Linked DNA regions of Arabidopsis thaliana. The protein of the gene in region 1 purifies or fractionates together with the protein of each later gene. This does not show direct contact. Each region holds a gene or a part of one and is shown on either strand. Other genes may lie near its edges.

Evidence for each region.
Region 2: the proteins of VIM1 (region 1) and HTR12 purify together in Arabidopsis thaliana (affinity purification with western blotting, with the first as the bait; one study listed by BioGRID). This does not show direct contact.

What each region holds. Positions count from the first base shown.
Region 1 is NC_003070.9:21,413,360-21,419,889, forward strand, and holds VIM1 (Zinc finger (C3HC4-type RING finger) family protein), read right to left. Parts: upstream 4,757-6,530; 5' UTR 4,544-4,756; coding exon 4,070-4,543; intron 3,545-4,069; coding exon 3,015-3,544; intron 2,786-3,014; coding exon 2,660-2,785; intron 2,536-2,659; coding exon 2,436-2,535; intron 2,364-2,435; coding exon 2,299-2,363; intron 2,220-2,298; coding exon 2,117-2,219; intron 2,044-2,116; coding exon 1,899-2,043; intron 1,652-1,898; coding exon 1,437-1,651; intron 1,163-1,436; coding exon 983-1,162; 3' UTR 763-982; exon of another isoform or gene 715-762; intron 684-714; 3' UTR 622-683; downstream 1-621. UniProt on the Arabidopsis thaliana protein: E3 ubiquitin-protein ligase. Participates in CpG methylation-dependent transcriptional regulation and epigenetic transcriptional silencing. Mediates ubiquitination with the E2 ubiquitin-conjugating enzyme UBC11.
Region 2 is NC_003070.9:141,453-147,202, reverse strand, and holds HTR12 (Histone superfamily protein), read right to left. Parts: upstream 3,715-5,750; 5' UTR 3,527-3,714; exon of another isoform or gene 3,440-3,526; 5' UTR 3,431-3,439; coding exon 3,379-3,430; intron 3,270-3,378; coding exon 3,226-3,269; intron 3,140-3,225; coding exon 3,094-3,139; intron 3,011-3,093; coding exon 2,976-3,010; intron 2,889-2,975; coding exon 2,852-2,888; intron 2,757-2,851; coding exon 2,644-2,756; intron 2,277-2,643; coding exon 2,199-2,276; intron 2,072-2,198; coding exon 1,996-2,071; intron 1,859-1,995; coding exon 1,803-1,858; 3' UTR 1,768-1,802; exon of another isoform or gene 1,161-1,767; intron 1,040-1,160; 3' UTR 724-1,039; downstream 1-723. Other genes in the region: RCAR1 (regulatory component of ABA receptor 1), read right to left, coding at 4,289-4,492, 4,564-4,779, 4,922-5,065. UniProt on the Arabidopsis thaliana protein: Histone H3-like variant which exclusively replaces conventional H3 in the nucleosome core of centromeric chromatin at the inner plate of the kinetochore.

The DNA.
Region 1 (6,530 bases):
CCGTTGTCGAAGACAGTTCGTCGTGTCTTCTATCATTTCTTTCTTGCCATATGGAGTGAATTGTGTTCTATAGGACATACTTGAGAATGAACCGCTCATTATGTCTAAGTCTTTTCCTGCAACGAGCCTCATAATATCTTGCCATTTTGCCGAGAAGTCATTTAAGAGAATCCCTTGTGTAAGCTCCTCCCAAACCTTGCTTGAAAAGGGACATTGGGAAAATAAATGGTCTCTGGTCTCTATGTGAATTTTGCAAAACACACCGCTCGAGTCTACATTTTGTTTCCATTTACTCATTCGGTCCCCTGTTGCAAGCCTATTTTTCACCATCAGCCATGTAACAAAAGCAAACTTTGGGGTTGCATTTTGAAACCAAACTAAGCTTGTCAACCTCAAACGATCTCTAATCCAATGACCAGGCGGAATCCTCAAATAGAATCATTATCATTTATCAATACAGAAAATTTTGACTGTAACGAAGGAAATGCTATAGTTTCCTTGTGATTGTTTATAAAATGACTGATTTAAATACTTTCTTGTACAGAGATGCTCATAATGTGGTAGTTATGACTTTTCTGTATTTTCATTACTTAAAAAGGGATACAGGAAACTAACCTGCTGCTAAAATGTACATATGATGAACATGTTTTTTGAATTTGCTGATTAAATTAACTCAGTCGAACCTAAATTGAATCTAAATTAGATTAGACAAAATGAAACAACATCCATTCTATACTAAATTGAGAATTCACTGCTTAGTACCTGATGGTATTATCAAAACCAACCTATCCGAGTTATAAACCAGAGACACCAAAATAAGAGAAAAATTGAAAACCTGAGAACCATAGTTTACGTTCCATATTAATAACTTAGTTGTTGTAAGATCCAAAATAACACATCGCAATAGGTACGTTCCACAAATATTGCGTACAAAATAAGGCACTAGAGTTTTTTTTTACTAAAGAGTTCTTTGGTACCAACTTCACCTGATGGTCGCAGAAACTGTTGCGTCAGTGTCCAACTTGATCCTTTTCTTCGGTTGCTCAGAATCTTCTTCAGGGGTGGTGCCTGAGCATTCACCTTCATCTTCATCTTCAAGCTCTGCGGTGTCCTCTTCCTGGGTCTTTAGCTTCTCTATCACCTCCGCTACTTCTCTGTTGACCTGTTTACACACATTTCACCAAAGAGATTATTCCTCAATTTCTGTGATCATAAAAATGGTAACTATCGTATGATCAGATCTGCTAAAGTTTCACTTTCCATGAATGGAAAGCATCAAATAAGTGTATGCTTGCAGATAACGAACTAAAATCAGACATATTACCATTGAACCAACTTCATCTTATTCTAGCAGAGTCAAAATCAATGCTGATGCAATTTGCACTTGTATTCATATGATATGATATGAAAGAAGAAGAAGATAGATGATGTTTCACCTGAGGGTTCTGCAGAAAATCAGATATGTCTGTTGGGCAACAAGGGCAGTTCAGGACATTCTTCCTTGAGCGTAGTGTCCGTCCACCTGTGCTTCTCTCTCTCACAAGAGTTTTCCCAGCAAATTTCGCTTCTAAGCAAGCCTTGCAGAAGTTATGAGCACAGGGTGTTGTCACAGGAAGAGTCAACACTTGCTGACAGATCTGGCACTTAAATTCTGCATCAACAAAATACCAATGACAGTTTAGATGGATTCGGGAATAAAGCTATATAAAGAAAGAGCTGGATATATGTGGTTCATATTAATATTTAGCAGAACCAATTTGGAAACATTGACTTACTGATTCTAAAAGTTCTCATGCAGTCTAGAAATATATACATAATGTACTAGAACTGATTCGGCAAAAAGGGAAAAAAACTATAAACGTTCTAACAGCAGAGGTAGAGAATTTGGACACACTGACCTTTCAGAAGTCTTGCCCTCATGGTATTCGAGTGTGCCGCCTTTATGGCTTTCCTCAAATTTTTCCTCTCCTCAGGAGCCAAAACATTCACTGACTTTTTACTTGCAGGTGGCGGCTTCATCCATTTCCAACAACCCTCACCTTCCTGGTCAAGTAGGCCTATATTATCAGTGGGTCCAGATAAAGAACTGTTAAAACTGAGATGTCTTGGAACTTACATCAAAATCCCATGATGGAGTTTCTTTTCTCTCAAACAGGTCGGTGGCCATATTAAGCTCTGGAATATTAGGGATAGGTCTTGGACGATCTCCATTCTCATCACTGCAAAATATCACATCATTAACTTAAATGGCAACTATATATGGAGAAAAGGCCCACGATTTTAAGAAGTAGACCAAACCTGGTCCATGGAGCTGGCTCATTGTCACATCTAACGAACAGGTAACGACAGACCTTAAAAGAACCCTATGGAAACCAGAAGAATAGGTCAATGCATAAAAAGAACTGTGAAAATTCACATTAATTAGATATGTGTACCTGTACTCCAACTTTGCGCCAGCACTTCTCAATCCTGTAAACCCCATCATATCTCACTCCTTCCTCAGGGGCGTATGCAGAACGCTTCTCCTTGTGAGACCTGATGATCATAAATGGAAAAGGGTAATTGAAGAGTTAGGATCACTAAAGCATGCTCAAAGCTTCAAGTTGAAGAGTAATAAAGACGTTGCATTCAATGGAGTTGTGCTCAAATAACAGCTAACCTGACAACTCGAACAGGATACCCCAATTTGCAGCTGAGTTTTAATGCTGCATTAGACTTCTCAAACTTTTGGTCAAAAGACTGCTCCTTGTTAGTCCTTTTGTTGCCACTGAGATCTCTACCCCCACTGTGTGACACATCCCCACATAATCAGGAGAAAAAGAGACATGTCCATCAGTAAATTGGAGAATAGCTATTTCTATACGCATGAGAGAACTAAAATATACAAAAATATATAAGGAACAATAATAAATCAAGATTATTGATTCGAGACGCATAATAAAGAGTATTGTTTCTATACCCAATCCGTAGAATAAATCAAATGGACCAAAATCTAGGAGTAATGAAAGGCAGACCTTCCTGTGTATAGAAACCATTCTCCATGATCCTCATCATCCTTATAACCTCCAGAGAGTGCTACAGATTGAGCGCCATAAGTAGATTGTCCAGCAATGCCAGCAACATGTGGGAAATGAGCACCCCACTGCCTACACTCGAGTCTGTCCTCCCAGGATTCTCCAACCAAAAGACCTTGGTTCCTGACAGGGTCATTTTCAGCTGGAATAGGACCAAAATGATCTGGTGGTATTGTAACATAAATCTTTCCACTAGCAGCGTTTGCCTTGCCAGTTTTCTTTGCACGCTCGGTTGTAAATGCTTTATCTGGTCGGTCTTGGTTGCTGATGAAATGAAAGACCTTTGAAGTGGTCGCAGCAGCACTTTTAGAGACTTTTGCTAATCGAATGGCAGCAACAAGAGACGAGTTGATACGGGGATTCTTAGCCATTTTTTCAGGAATTATGCTGCGGCATTTACCACAAGTTCTCTTTCCCTGCCCCATCCATTTCTCAAAACATTTTAAGCAAGCGTTGTGCCCACATGGTTTCTGAAAAACAAACACACAAGATTTCCATCAGCCCAAGATAAATAGTCTCCATCTTCATCAATAATCCTTACTTTGAAAAGAGGTACAGTACACACCATATTAAATACTCATAAAAAGCAACGTTTATGGTTTCATAAAATAGATCAACCATCCACATACCAATCCTAACAATTTTCAACAACACAATAGATTACTCAAACTAAATAATCCAACCCAATAACAGGATAACTCAACAACAATGAACTATAAATGTAGGTAACATTGACACATTCTGTCACAAATGGTAAAGATCAATGAAGTCAAAGCCTTTGTAAAACAGTTAAAGGAACCATTTATGATGTCAATAAAGTTTATGCCTTTGTATCACGCAGCTTTAGTGTTCTATGTCACAAGCTCAAATCAGTAAACCAAGTGGATAATAAACAATCACACCCCACTTAAGAAGACACCCTAAATAAGATTCCAGGTTTAACAGATTCACCAAAAGAGATCTATCAACAAAGCATAAGAACAAAGAGAACGAACCGTCACAGGTCTCTCAGGCAACTGCATACAGAAAGAACACATCAAGTTATCTCCAAGAGCAGATAACACATCCAGATTCGGATTCTTCCCTTTCCCCTTCTTCTTCCTCTTCTCTTCTTCATCATCCTCCTCAACACCTTTACCACTCAGTAACCGTTGCCTCATCTTAGCTTTCTCTTCAGTACTCAACGACTCATCAGCCTCAATCGCACGAATCGCAGCTACAAGATCTGACCCAGCAGATTCGAAACCAGTAGCACCGCCGGAAACAGGAAGAGGATCGATTTCGCCGGAGCAATCAGGACAATGCCACTGTAGAGTGGAAGCTAGGGTTTTGGGAGGTGAAGAGAGACAGGACACGTGCCACGGTGTAACGCACGTGCCGCAAGTGAGAGATTCTTCAGGCGGAGGGTTGGATTTGCATCGCATGCATACGCCGTCGCCGTCGCAGGGGAGTTGGATGTCACGCGCCATTTTTGGGGGAAAAAAGATCAGAGAGTGAGAAAATGGTGTTTCCGAGATTTTGAGAGATGGAGAGAGAGGAAGGTTCTAGAGAATTGGGAATAAAAAGAGTGGGAAACGAAATACTGAAGAGGCGGGTGTTTGAAATATTTTGGGAAAGGACGAGAGCGTCTTTGAAATTCAAAACGATACCCAAAAGATTTTTTTGGCTATGTGTTGTCTTGTCACTAGGTTTTTTTTTTTAATATCATCATATCAAGGTCAGAAATATTTTCGGAAATCTGATTATTACATATTTGCCATTGTCGGAATAATATCATTCATTTATTAATTAGGTAATGATTTTTAAAAATTCGGGATTAAAATTGTTCATCTAATTTTATGAAGAATTATTTATTAGTCACTAATTTGATGTTCAACAGAAACTAATATCAACCTTCTTTTTAAAATTTATTATTTTGAAATTGTAAATGGTTTATATCGATTTGCAAAAACTATTTTGATGGTATACAATGTTGCATTACAAGATCTTGGTAAATGGTTCACAACACCGTTTACCAGCAAAATACATATAATATTTTTTTATTTGTTTTTAAAGATTTTAGATAATGAAACATTTCATGTGTTATAAACACGTTATCCGTGATAGCTCTCTTAGTAACAAATGTAGGTAATATACACGGTTATAACGGTTATAACAGTGAATAATGATAACGATAATGGTGACTTGGTAGTGGACATGACTGTGTAATAATATAGGTGATAGCTGTTAGAATAGAATAGAAATACAAGAAAAAAAAAAACACATTAAGAAAAAAAGAAAAAGACAAGAAATCAGATTAAACAAATTCAACATAAATGTACATATATATTAGATTCACAAAATAGAATGATACAAAGTTACAAGTAAAATACAGCTATCTTAAGCACTATTTTACTTGTAATGTCTGACTAATGTCTTGACAAGAGTGCTTAAGTAATATTTCTGGTCCAGTAACCGACGGTAGTAGTGATTGCTGTGTACGGTCAGATGCTGATCATTTGGTAGTTTCCACCATGTTTTCTACCAGTACTTAGAATGATAAAATAATAAACTATGCCGCCAAAACGTATAGAAGAAGAAAGATAACGTGATGGGCAAGTTCTATATTTGGATATGATCGGATCTTATTGGTTTGATGATGCTATTCTCAATTTGATTTTTGTTTTATTTGGACCTTTGGCCTACTTTGAATAATAAATAATATTTATTATAACAGAAGCAAATTTATGACAATAACCCTGCACTTAATTATTCTTATAACTTATTTTTGAAATCAAATTTTACTAGATCGTGCTATGAGTAGCATTTAAAATCAGTATAACAGTACTCGATTTGTAAGAAATTCCTTAGAATATCCCTTGGAGCTGAAGAAATAATCAACATCTTTGTAAGTCAAATATTTATCTCCACACGAGTTTAATTTGTGTTGGCAATTTATGTCTACCACTAATTATGTGATTTTTGTTTGTCCCCTCTTTATGAGACGTGGTGAATAGTGAGCATAATACCTGAAAGTGAACGAGAAACGTCATCAAAAGCGACCAAAATATATAACCAAACGCTCACTTTATTCCTACTGATCAATGTATAACAAAAAAACAAAACCACCACGCTAACTTTTAATTATACTTATATTCATTAATTTTCAATAATTCACTATCTCTAGAAATCGAACCCCAACCTATATATATTGTAAAAGAACTTACACAACTCTTCTAGGTTAGTTTAAAATTCAAATTGATTTGCAATGTAGAATTTTCAACATTAGAGTTTTAGTATGAAGAAGTTTTGAGTACAACTGATTTCGCCTCATTAGTTGATTACAAATCATCATAATAATAACTGACATATCATCATTTAGGTCATATTCTTATTATTTATTCATTAAATACCAATACTATGTGTTCTCAAGCTAGCTTCTTGTTTCTTGCATCTTCCGAAGGTCGTTAAAGTTTA
Region 2 (5,750 bases), about 21 Mb from region 1:
GTTTGGTACGGTTTAAGGTAAAGAGAGAGCAGAGAGGAAGAGAGAATGATGGATTTTTAAGGGAAGAACATGAAGTGTATTCTGTATTTATAAGGGCAAAGTTTAACGACCGGTTTGGTCGGTTTCCACATTAAGGAATCGTGTATGATGTATATCGTACTTTGTTTTCCTTAAATCGGATTTAACTAATATTATTCTTATTAATTAATTTAGCAACTTATGGGTGGCAGCCAATATATGTCAGTATGTGTGCAATGCTCGAGTGATTTCGTTTAAGGACCAATGAGAATCATAAGACATGTTGCATTACATCATTTGCTCCGTCATGTTCTTGTCTAATTGCTTTTTTTAAAATGATACTACTTGATGTTTTATATTTACACGCAGATGAATAAATCATAATTAAGTCGATATAAATCAACTATGTTGAGTACAAATATGTATGAAAAAAAAGAGTCAATATATGTATTCATTTTTCCCAAGAAGAAAAAAAGCATTAGGAGAATCACTTGATTATCATTTATGAAGTCCAATCTATTACAAATCGAATTAAATTTTGTCAATTTAATGAAATATATTGTTAGAACTATCAAAAGTTGAGTTGAAAGTTTGTTAGGGATGAATATAAAATTAATTTAACGTCGAGGATATACCCTTTATTCCTCCATTAATTCACATCGCAAATTTTATTCAAAGCTTCTTTTAAATTTTGTTCGGTTTATTATTATATTTATCTATCAACTTTAAAAAAGAAAAGGTTGATCAGCAACGTACTGAACAAACTATGCAGTTGCAACTGAACATGACACGTGGATTTTATATTTCATTTAATTTGTTGGGACCATCGCATGATTCATGACGCCTTCACTTGACCCATCCTCTTTCTTTCTTTTTTTTTATAATACTACAATTTGTTTTTTCTTTCGGTCTACTCTGAATTTTTGCGAATGAATCTGTTGGGAACTTGGGACCATTGTGTTGCATGATTCATGGGCGCATCCAACTTTTGCCATCCTCGTTTCTGTTTAGTTTTTTCGGTCTGCATTCAATTTTTACGAATGTACAGAGAGAGATCATAAAGGATGTAAAAAACAAAACAAAAGAGACTATAGAGAACCCAAGAAAAAGAGGCAACTTAAAAGAGTTGACAATGAAATAAATATCACCAAATTCGAAATTCGAGCTTTTCGAAAATTTATAGTGTTTTTTTTAGTGACAACACTATGATATCACAAATGTTTTATGCGAATTATCACTAAAAATCAATATGAATTATTTAAATTTGAAGTGCTAAGGATATCTCAACCTTTTTAATATGCCTTGACAAGTTGTAATTGGGAATCCACTCGTCACTCGTCTGAGAGATATTTCTACTAAAGCCCTCCCAAAACACATGTTCTTTCAAATCTTCCTCTTACTTTTTTTTTCTTCTTTCAATCACAACCCTTTCTAACTGAGGCTTCAAATTATATATACATGAACCTTTGGAAGTTAGAACTTAACGAAAGAAACGTTTTTGTCAAGTGGAATCTCAATGGAAAACAATCAGATCCAACGAAAAGCAGATAGAAACACACATAGAGAAAGAAGTTTTACAGCCTAGATATTGGAATCAAACCAAATTCGGGTTTCCAGTTATGTTTCAAAAGAAGGTTTTGGTCAGATCATTTAGTAAAATAAAAGGACATGCATCACCAAGAGACAAGGAGAGAATAACCTTATACAACCTACGACACACTTGTTGTTAACTATTCGATCCTCACTTACAATGTAAGAGATGTGAATAGTGAGTGAGTTTTCTATCACCATGGTCTGCCTTTTCCTCCAAGCCGGCGTGCAAGTTCAAAGTCTTTTCTCACTGATATGAACAAAAAACAGATATAGATAAGCATTTTATATATGATATTCAAGTAACTAATGATTCAAAGGGATATAAAATGTATGCTTGTGATTCCTAAGTTGAGACTGAAAAATGTCTTCTTTTAGAGTACTTACTTAGAGTAACACGTCTTGCATGGATAGCACAGAGCATTGAATCTGAGAACAAACCAACCAAGTAATCTTCTGCCGCCTACCACAAAGAATTTGTGTGATTAGGTTGATTGGTCATCAAGGGGAATGACATTAGTTGAAATGTGTGACTATCTCTATATCTATATTCATACATTCGTATAAAGAAAAAGTTGAAGGATTGGTACCTCTTGAAGAGCAACAAGAGCTTCAGCTGTCCAACGATTGATTTGGGGAGGGGCCAACATATGGGTTATACTTCTCACCTGGAAAAACAATGTAAAATAGTTTGTTTGTAACACAAATCAGCATTTCCACATCACTGACGATTCATGTTGAGTTTTGTAGCTACAGGAATCATATGGTTCTGAATCTATGAGCTCATAACCTCAAAGACAAACTAGATTACACACTCCTTAAACAAGGAGGGTTGGCCTCACGATTACTCTGAATTTTAGTTAAATTGCTATATCACTCACTATGTACACTGCATTGATGCTCAGATATGTGTGGGGTGTGCAAATCCTAAAACTAGCCACATTAAACACCAAAAGGCTTGTGCCTCTGTTAGTATATATGAATATTGTTAAGCTGTGAAACTTATTATGGCTGGTAAGAAAAAGAGTAACTAACTTCTCTTATGAAACTGGCAGCCGGAATAAGAAGGTTTGTCTGCTTCTGGAAATGGCGAATCTCTTTTAGAGCAACGGTTCCTGGCCTGTATCGATAAGACTTCTTCTGTGAGCCTACAAGGACAACACCGAAGATTAGTTTTAAACACACTAAGTGTCCTGTATTCTCAGGGATATCACAAGAGATTGGTTTTTTTTTTAAAACAAACCTCGTGGCATAGCCTGTCTGGATCTCTTAGCCCCTCTCTTGACAAACCAAAACGAGAATTTTGTCAGCTTAATAACGAAATCAAAGTTGAAGCAGTTCATAAGCAATGGTCACAAAAATCTTACCCTTGTACCAGTAGCTGGTGAAGTTGTAGGATTTGCTGCAGATGTTACAAAAGAATAACTTCACAAACAAAAGAGATGAAAAGAGGGAAAAAAAAGACTTCAAATATAAAAAACTCACTTTGTTGAGTATTATCTCCACCTTCACCGCCTCTCCTTGTCGGGGTCTTCAATTTCGATAGATAAACAAATTTGATCATAACGATAAAAGGAAGAAACATTGGAAACCCTAAGACGGAAAAAGATGCCGTACCGTAGTTGGACCTGCCGCCTGAGAAGATGAAGCACCGGCGGCATCTACAAATTTCAGATTCGAAATCTAGGGTTAACAAAATCGAAATAAAAAACCTAAAATTCTGGGTAAAATCAGAAGTAAAAATTGAAAGAGAAAGCAGATTTAAGATACCAGTTTGATTCCGAGGTTGTGACCTGGTAACGCGATGCTTGGTTCTCGCCATTGATTTTTACTGCTGGAGAAATCGCACCATGAGAGAGAGAGAGGAATCGTAAAATCGGAAAAGAGAATCGACGAAAACTGCGATTATGAAAGTCACCTGCTGAGAAATTTCCCGCTAGATACGAAAAGATTAGAAGATTGGAGCGGAACTTTTACTTTCCCGCTCGACACTCAAATTTTGATTTTAAAATCGAATCTGCTTCACAATTTGTTTCAGTCAAGAGTCTCTCTGAACAACTTATTACAATTTGCACTAAACCTGTGGCTTCACATAGAGGGTTCGACTCGATTGTTAGCCTTCTTTAGTTCCTGTTTTACCCCTGGTCTGTATACAATATTACATTCAAATATGTACCTGTTTGTTTAGATGAAAATTGGAAACAGAGGGGAATAGGTTTTGTGTGTTTTACCGTTAAACCTCAATTCAAAATCTTTGTCTCTCTCTCTCTCTCCCAATTTATGCTCATCTTTTCAAGTTAATGAAATTGACACAGTTTTTCAACTTTCTGCCTCAGATTCTTTACAAGTTCTCAGCATCCAATCATAGGTTCTGTTCAATAGAGAAGTGGAATCTGAAGTCTACAGAAACATCTTTTGTGAACTATATATTATACATCATAAACCATTCACATTTACATTGTTTACAAAAATATCTACAAATAACAAACCACCAGGAGATATCTTACATCAAAACTTCACCATTGGGACAATATGTACATCTTTTTAGACTGGTCATTACCGAGGATAGATATCTATATATATATCTAGGCCAAACCAAAAAAATCCTGAAGAATATTGATTATATCACAAACTGGAATTGATACTTCACTTCAATGCCCTTGTTCATTGATTATGTAGTTCACTGAGTAATGTCCTGAGAAGCCAATCTTTCAGAAACATCTGCTAGTGACTTGAGATTACATCTGATAAGTGCTTCAACAAAGTAGCAAGTCTCATCCTTTGTGTTACCTTGAGGAACATCAACTACAAACGATTCAATCACCATCGTTCCTGCTCTTCCCTCGATTATCTCCGGATGAACCGTCAAAATCGACGAGTAATTCTGCAAACAAACAATCAATGAGAATCTGCATATAAACAAACATCAATGAGATTTGATTTCTCTCGCTGTACCTTAAGTCTGTGATCACCACCGATGATTTTGATACCGAGGATGTGTTCTTCATCATCAAGAAGTTCTAATCTCTCAGTAGATGTTGTTGCAGGAAGACCAGATTTAACATTGACTTCTCTAAGACTGCCGATTTCAGGATCACCGATTACTGTACATCTGCTCACAAACGGTTTGTATTTCTGCGGCTGATCAAATCTCCGTACAAGTGACCAAACCTAAAAAAAATCAATTATAATCAATCGTTAAACAGAGATTTGGGGGAAAAAACCCTAAATCGATGGTTGGGATCAAAATTGACGGATCATGGAGAAAATGGTACGAAAAGGGTGAAATTAGTGGTAGATTGGAGAAGCTTACGAGATGAAGAGGAGCTTTGATGTGTTTGACAAGAGCAGAGGTACACTGGTTTTCTCTGCACAGATGTTGATGATGCGTCCGTACGTATTGCACCGTCTCGAGACCACCGTACATCGCCGTGCCGCCTTCAACGCCGTCCATCATATCTCTCTCTCTCTCTCTCTCTTTCGTTCTTCGTTGTTATCTCACAAGGGAGAATCTCTGGAAATGGATAATAAATACAAGGAAGAAGAAGAAGATGCTTCGTTATGCCAAAACAAAATTACTTGTTTATGTTTTTTGGTTTCTTTTAATGAACCCACCGACATAATAACTTTTTACTTTTGTACCTAAACTCTTTTTTATAGCTTCCTTCTTCTCCTTCACACATTTTCAGCTTTTCAAACCAAACAAAAACACAACAAGATACTAATTTTTTAATGTAACAAAAAAACAAAATATTTAAGCAAGTTTTATTGTATGACGTTTTGGGGACCTATATAATCCGAACAAAACAAAACAGATTGCTTAGATAATTATTTGTTTTGATTAGGTAAGATCGTTTCAAACTTTATAGATAGTTTTGTTAATTTAAATTCAATTTTAGACCATATTCATTATAATAGCTAATTTTTTAGACACAAAATGTCGTTAATATACCAGAAATTTATAAATGAGTGATTCTCCATGTATCAGGTCTCATATGTCTTAGACCACATCTTATTAGATATAGCTCTCGTTGCCTTTAAACCTTGTTGTTAAACATTAATTAATTGTATCAAGCTAAATGTCTAACACCATATCCTATCTGCAAAGTGACTGTTCCATGTAGTCATGTACGACACGTAAG